2 linked regions of the Oryctolagus cuniculus genome follow. The protein of the gene in region 1 interacts with the protein of each later gene in a biochemical or structural test. Links are inferred from orthologs where the notes say so. Each region holds a gene or a part of one and is shown on either strand. Other genes may lie near its edges.

Region 1 (3,553 bases):
TGGAAATACAACAAGAAGTGGGCAAAGAGGAAACCAGTCTTGGAGAGCAGTGAGCCGGACTAATCCAAACAGTGGTGATTTCAGATTCAGCTTAGAAATAAATGTTAACCGTAATAATGGGAGCCAAAATTCAGAGAATGAAAATGAGCCATCTGTAAGACGTTCTAGTGGAGAAAATGTGGAAAACAGCCAAAGGCAAGTGGAAAATCCGCGATCTGAATCAACATCTACAAGATCGTCTAGATCAGAACGAAATTCATCTGAAGCATTAGCAGAGGCTCCACCTGCCAGAGGTCTGAGGAGGGCAAGAAGCAGGAGCCCCGACCATCGGAGAACCAGAGCGAGAGCTGAAAGAAGCAGGTCACCTCTGCATCCAATGAGTGAAATTCCACGAAGGTCTCATCATAGTATCTCATCTCAGACTTTTGAGCATCCTTTGGTAAATGAGACTGAGGGAAGTTCTAGAACCAGACACCATGTGACATTAAGACAGCAGATCACTGGACCAGAGTTGCTAAGTAGGGGTCTTTTTGCAGCTTCTGGAACAAGAAATGCCTCTCAAGGAGCAGGTTCTTCAGACACAGCCAGCAATGGTGAATCCACAGGATCAGGGCAGAGACCTCCAACCATAGTCCTTGATCTTCAAGTGAGAAGAGTTCGTCCTGGGGAATATCGGCAAAGAGATAGCATAGCTAGTAGAACTCGCTCAAGGTCTCAGACATCAAACAACACTGTCACTTATGAAAGTGAACGAGGAGGTTTTAGGCGTACATTTTCACGTTCTGAGCGGGCAGGTGTGAGAACCTATGTCAGTACCATCAGAATTCCCATTCGTAGAATCTTAAATACTGGTTTAAGTGAGACTACATCTGTTGCAATTCAGACCATGTTAAGGCAGATAATGACAGGTTTTGGTGAGTTAAGCTACTTTATGTACAGTGATAGTGATTCAGAACCTAGTGGCTCAGTCCCAAGTCGAAATATGGAGAGGGCAGAGCCACGGAATGGAAGAGGGAGTTCTGGTGGTGGTAGCAGTTCTGGTTCCAGTTCCAGTTCCAGTTCCAGTTCGAGCCCTAGCTCCAGTTCCAGTTCCAGTGGTGAAAGTTCAGAAAGTAGCTCAGAGGTGTTTGAAGGCAGTAATGAAGGAAGCTCATCATCAGGCGCCAGGCGAGAGGGTCGACATAGGGCCCCGGTCACATTTGATGAAAGTGGCTCTTTGCCCTTCCTTAGTCTGGCTCAGTTTTTCCTCTTAAATGAGGATGATGATGACCAACCTAGAGGACTCACCAAAGAACAGATTGACAACTTGGCAATGAGAAGTTTTGGTGAAAACGATGCATTAAAAACCTGTAGTGTTTGTATTACAGAATATACAGAAGGCAACAAACTTCGTAAACTACCTTGTTCCCATGAGTACCATGTGCACTGCATCGATCGCTGGTTGTCTGAGAATTCTACCTGCCCTATTTGTCGCAGAGCAGTCTTAGCTTCTGGTAACAGAGAAAGTGTTGTGTAATTAAGATCTGAACTTTCAGCTATGTAGCTGGTATAGTGATGGGCAAACAGGAATCACTTGTTTTATGTCCACTTTTTGAGTGGTGCTTAAATGTAAAGTAACAACCTGAATTGAGTCATTGCTTTCTGAAGGAATCATTGTCCTTTTTTGCAGTTTCTGTCCCAGAACACAAGGAAGCATTTAAAGAGCAACATTTTAGGATCTAACAATCTGATTTCAGTACCAGTTGAATTGATGACATCTCTGTTACTGATAATTTGTATCATATACACTTGTTGGTTTCTCCTTTGTTATCTTAAAGGATCTGCCTTAGCAATGGCTCCTATCTGTTTCATGTTGATCTTTATGTAAAGTTTCCCATGCCATAGGAGAGAGAGGGGTGAAGGAACTTCCCACTTTAGGCTAAGTTACAGTATGTGTTTCCTAAGTGATTACTTAAAACTGTACCATTCCCAGTTATTGACACAAATTCAGCCACATTCTGAGTATTGTTTGTTCACCTTTCAGACTAGGTGATACTGGACATGTCAGTGTAAATAACACTAAGGTTAGAATCCTCTAAGTGTATAACTGTCTCCTAAGCCCATCACTGTGGCACACTGTAGAGTGAGCTTATAGTTTAATTGAGATATTTATCTTGTGGAAATATTAAAAAGCCTATGCTTGTGTAAGTGAAAAAAATCACATTCATTTGTTTAAAAATGTAAAGCTATTTTGTAGAGGCTCAGTACTTTTCCAATGCACTGTTGTATTAATGCATAAAAAATTGTAAAGTACCATGCTTAGAAATGAGAGAACTGCTTTTTGTGAGCCAACATAGTTTAAAAAAAAAAAAACACACCAAACAAAGTACAAAGCTGCTTTTGTAAGTGTGTAGGTGTCAAGAGCAGAACATATCTATAATATTTAATGTATGTGAACAGCTACTGTGACATGCATAGGATAGGGCCATGCAGAGTCAAACTGCATTAAAGACCAATGGAAATTGTGTGTTTAACTTGAATTTAGGCAGGAAATGACAGATTGGAGTCAAGAAAACTGCTCTGAGGAGCATAAAATTTTCATGTAGACAGTAATAATGCAGACAACAACTGGTTCCATACAGTGAGAGCAGCAGCAGCATGACTTGGCATTCTACAGGAACATATGAGGCAGATCGGCAAATTTGGCAGAACTCTGGTTGCAGAGACACAAACCACTACATCAAGTTAAGTTGATGTTTTTGCAAGTCTGCACCTCCAACAGTGGAGGAAAGAGACTACAAACCACTTTTAGCATAAATTGCAGTTGGTACAGATGTGTGTGCTCATAGGAAAGTCTCGAATTTGCAGTGTTTTTGAGATTTGCCATTTAAGGTACTAGTGCACACTTGCTAATATTTCATCACAGTCTATCGCAGACTTAATATCTTGCATATGATGACCAGGTGAATTAAGGGATTTTTTTACCTTTCCTTGAAAGTGTATCATTTTGGCTTAATTGAAATTCAAAATTTAATTGTGGTGTCCATATTTGAAGATGAGACAGCTCACTCACTATGGACAGGCACTTTATGTTTTCTTAGTAGTAAGAGTAAATAATGATAACCCCAGTACTTTTGCCTAATTCCTCTCTTAAAGCTGGTTGGGGTCAGTCTGTGGAGCAGGTACTTGTTTTTCTGGGAAAAGCCAATAGGCCAGAAGAGGGCTTGAACACGTCCTTGGCCTTTAGCGAAATGAGCTAACTACCCAGACATAGTCAGATCCCTCTACAGAGTAAACAAGTCTGCTTTAGGAATTGTTCCTGGCTACCTTCACTGTTAGCAACTTCACTATAAAGATTATTTCAGAGTTCATTATCTCATGTTTTCTTCTCGCTTTCAATCCTACCTAAGTATCAAGGAAGTTAACTTGTAAATATGGTAGTTGTTTACTAAAGGATATGTACTGCTCTTGCAAGGAAATAATGTTCAAACAAAGCTTCACTTATTTTTTTTAATATAAGCAGATTTCACTGTTTATGGCGCTTATGTAATACATTTTATCTTTTAAAAAAAAT
Region 2 (4,184 bases), on another chromosome or scaffold:
AGGAGGCTCTGCCCTGGGAATCCAGCGTAGGAAATGGGAAGACAAATCCTTGGCCGGCGCGGGGGCTGGCCACAGGCTGGGCACGGGGCGCTGCCTTGCATGTCCTTGCACAACTAAGCGTCATGGTTACACTTTCTAGAAACATCCAGAAGGTGTGTGTGGCCTCCCAGCCTGGCCCAGTCTGCTGGCCATTGAGGTACAAATGTGGGGTGGCCACAGGAGTACAGGTGGCCTGTGGGCACCAGGCTCAGGCCGGGGTGCAGAGGCACACAGTAGGTGCCTTTCCTCCCACGCAGTCACATCCCTCAGACGTCTGGCCTTTGGGGGCCCGGAATCCTGGGGTGCCTGGGGCTTGACCACCCTGCTAATTTGGAAAAGGTCTCTGAGAGGGGGGAGCCAGGCAGGGGGCGCGGCCTGCTGTCACGCTGCGCGCGGGCAAGGGTAGGCACCCTCCCACCCCTCCTGCCGGGGCGGGGACAGAGACCCCCCCAGTGGGTCCCAGGAACCGGGAAGCAGCCCTCTGGGACCTGGGAGTTTAAAATCCGGCTCGACCCTCGCTCTCTGCAACCGACTCGTCCCGCCTCTGGCAAAGCCGGGCCCGGTACGGAGCTGAGGATGCTCGGCGCGCCGGGGTCCCCACGGCGAGGACCTCGGGGGTGCAGCTGGGGTGGCACAAGTCCCCTCGGTGCGAATTCAGCACCGCCGCGCGGACAGCGCCCGGGTCGCGCCGCCCCGAGCCCGCATCAGGCAAAAGCGCCCACGCCCGCCCCACGCTCCACCCCCGGCTTACGCTGCATGGTGGTTCGGCCACGGCGGGGTCTCCGTCGCCCGGCGTCCCGGAGCCGGCGCGACCAGTCCTCTCCCCTCCCTGCGACTCCCTCCTCTCCTGCCTCTTCCTCCCAGCCCTGAGACCACCCCTCCCAGGAACCGTCGGAAAATAAATAAATAAGGGGGCAGCGAGACCCCGCAGCGGGATGCAGCCCCTTCCCCACCTGCCCGCTCGGTTCCTCGCACTCCCACCGCGCCAGCCCGGGAGCCCGCGGGGAGCGGCCCAGGGCGCGGGGAGCGAGGCTCGTGCCTCCCGCAGGCTGGGGGCCAGGACAAGCGGGCTTTCTCGAGCCGCAGGCGGGTTCTGACCGTCTGGGTGTCCACAGAGCGGGCGCGGGAGCGGCGGTCAGCCGTCCCCCTCGTTGGACTCGGCTCCCCCGGACGGGGTCGGGCGGGCGTGGGCTGGGAAGAGCCCTCCTGGGACGCTCTCGCCCCAGGGTCACCTGGCCCCGCGGCAGCTCCCCGCACGCCCTCCAGCCGGAGGCGCTTCTCTGCCGAGGTGCCCCGCACACCCGACAGCGCCCGGGGCCCCGACGCAAACTCGCACCCGCTCCCGTCCAGGTCCCTCTCTCCGGGCCTGCGCTCGCCGGGGCACCCACCTCTGCGCAGGTCGGCCCTCCGCGCCAGCAGCGCCAGCAGCAGGTCACCGCCCGCCGGCTCCCGGGCCGGGCCCAGCTCCGCGCGCGCCTCCATGAGTCCCGCCTCCGGCGCCGGCGCTCCCCGGGCCCGAACTTTCCCGGGGTCCGGCCAGGCCCCGGTCGCAATGGTCAGAGCGACTCCGGCGCTGCTGGGCGCTGCGCCCGCGGGCGGCCCAGGGGCCCGAGACTCAGGCCGCACGGAGGGCGGAGCGGCCGGGGGCGGGGCCGAGACGCGGGGCGGGGCCGGGGGTCGCGGACACGCGCCAGGGGCGGCCGCGGGCTCTGCGGGCCTTAGCGCGGGGACCTTGCAGTGCCCGCGGGAGGGGATGCGTGAGAAGGACGGAGTCCAGCCTGACCACAGGCGTTAGGCCCTGCCCCGCAGCTTCCTGTCCCGGCGCGGGCTCCAAGTGAGCTCCAGCAGGGCTGGGGGTCCTGGGAGGACGCCGGCTCCTCCCGCGACCGGGACTGGGGCTCCGGAGCGGGTGCTGGGGCTGGGAGTCTTCGTGACGACGCCTGGAGCGCGACCCGGAGCTCAGAGAGCGCGGGAGCCGCAAGGAAGGCCTCCTGGCGGCCGCGACCCCAGACCTCCGCTGCGGCCTCGCTCCCAGGCCCGGGTCGGGTCGGGAAGGAGCAGGGTTCTGGGGAGGGAGCAGGCTCAGGTCTTCGGCCTGGACACGCAGCCAAGACTGCGGGTCTGGGGCACTGAGTGGGGAAGCCCGGGACACACCCTCGGGCGCCCCCGGCCTCACTCGCCTCGCACAGAAGTCTCGGCGCCTGGGTTTGCAGCTTCCTGCCCAGAATCCAAACAGGTGAGCGGTCGGAGCCCCTCTGTCCTTGCACAAAGCGGGACGCACCTGGGAGTCACCCAGGCCTCCTCCAGCTGCCCTAAGTGCCCGGTGCTTTAATGCCCCCTGCAGACCCGCGCAGTTCCGCGTCGCCACCGGCAGCGCGACTCCCTGGCTCCCTCCTGCCCCGCGCCTGTTACCCTAGAAGGGCCAGGGCCAGGGCACCGGGGCGTGGAGCGGAGTTGTTCTGGCGTTAAGTGTCAGCTGTCGCAGAGGGACGGCGGGGCCATGTGTGGCTTCACCGGGAAAAGCCGGTAGCGGTGGAGGCGGCGGCCCCACGCCGCTGGGCATCTGGCGAGTGCGCCAACAATAGCGGAATGGTCCTTGGGGAGGGCGGTTCAGGCGGGAGACCCGGCCCGGGGGCCAGAGCTGTGAGGGGCTCTGGTCTGGGGAGCAAAGGCCCGACGCAGGCCAGCGCCAGGCCCTCGGAGCCACCCCTCGCCTCCGTGGCCGCCTCCATGCTCCGTCCCGTGTCCCCGGACTATCCCTCGCCGCCCGGTTCCCCGCGCCGCGCCGGCTCTTACCCCGAGGCCCGCCGAGGCTGCAGACGGCGGTGGCCGCGGGGGCCCCGGGCCCCTCCGGGTCGCGGTCGAGTTCCGTCTCCAGCAGCATAGCGGCCGCCGGGCTGGGCTGAGTCGCGCGTCCCCCGAGGGCTCGTAGCTCCCCGCCCTGGCGCGCCCCTTCCGCGTCGCGGGGAGCTCCTGGAGCGGCCGGACGCTGTCCGCGGTGCTGAAGGAGGCGCCCGCCGCCCGCCCCGCCTGCGCGCCCGCCCGCCCCCTCCCCGTCCCCGCCCCCCGCCCGCCCCCGGGGCCCGGGCTGTCGGCGTCGGGCGCGTGCCCCTCCCGTGCGGGCCTGGCCGGACTCCGCGGCCCTCGCCTTCGCCCCCGCAGCCACGCGGCAGCCGCGTCCGGTTCCGCTGCGCCCTGAGCTCCCCTCCCGGGTTCGCAGCAAGCGGGTCTCCGCGCCGGACGCCCGCAGCTCGGGGCGCCCTGGGGCTCTCCCCGCACAGCTGGCCTCAGCACCTCCTCCGTCCCAGCCGACCTCAACTGCCGGCCGCGCTCCAGGCCACCGGGGCGCCCCGTCCAGGAGGAAGGGCACCTGTGGTCACCCGACACAAACGCTGCGCGGCGCGCCGGGCGCCGACCCCAGGGCACACGGAGCTTTCCCACCAGGCTCTCCCGGAACCCGGTGGCGTTGGGCGTGGGGAGCCGGGGTTCCTGGGGCCTCCCTCCCCTACCCCAATAAGGGCTGCCACGGACCGCACTCTGGCGGGAAGTCCGCGAGCTGTCCGGCGGCCGCCCCAGCCCGCAGCAGCCCCAGGGAGCTCACCGGCCACCCGTCCCCAGCCTCCACTTCCCACCCGACCCTCGCGGCCATCCGGGGGTCTCTGGTTTCGTAGGGGAAGCCCCGCCTGACAAGGACCAGGTCACAAACGTCAGATTTATTTTTAAAATGTATTTAAATACAAAATGCTGACTTTCTCTGCAGGTAAGAAATTCCACCAACATTTCCATGTCAATTGGGCTCTTAAAATGCAAATCCTTCCATTAAAAATAAATAAACATTTAAATTACTCAGCTATCATTTGTATTAGTCGCAATACTTAAACTTTAGAAAATAGACTTGAACCTTGCCCGGAGCGCCCCGCGGAGTGGGCCCCCCGAGGCCATTTCGCCAAACCCGGGTCCGCGAGGAAGTCCTGGGGCGCACGGCGGGGAGTGGCGGCTCCTGAGGCATCTTTGGACCCCGACGCGGGGGCCACCCGTGTCTGTGCGCGACCCACCGGCCGGAGACCCCTCCCCCCAGCGGCAACCCTGCCCGACAGGGCCCCCAGGAGGCCGCTGGCAGCCACCGGTGTGAGTACAAAACGGGA

Evidence for each region. The genes of interacting proteins can lie anywhere in the genome.
Region 2: the proteins of RLIM (region 1) and LHX3 form a complex in vitro, tested with the Homo sapiens proteins (2 studies listed by BioGRID). The link is inferred for Oryctolagus cuniculus from reciprocal best matches to the Homo sapiens genes RLIM and LHX3.

The regions. Positions count from the first base shown.
Region 1 is NC_091453.1:54,291,930-54,295,482, reverse strand, and holds part of RLIM (E3 ubiquitin-protein ligase RLIM), read left to right. Parts: coding exon 1-1,516; 3' UTR 1,517-3,553. UniProt on the Homo sapiens protein: E3 ubiquitin-protein ligase.
Region 2 is NC_091432.1:236,771,758-236,775,941, reverse strand, and holds the start of LHX3 (LIM/homeobox protein Lhx3), read right to left. Parts: upstream 2,822-4,184; 5' UTR 1,522-2,821; coding exon 1,428-1,521; intron 1-1,427. UniProt on the Homo sapiens protein: Transcription factor.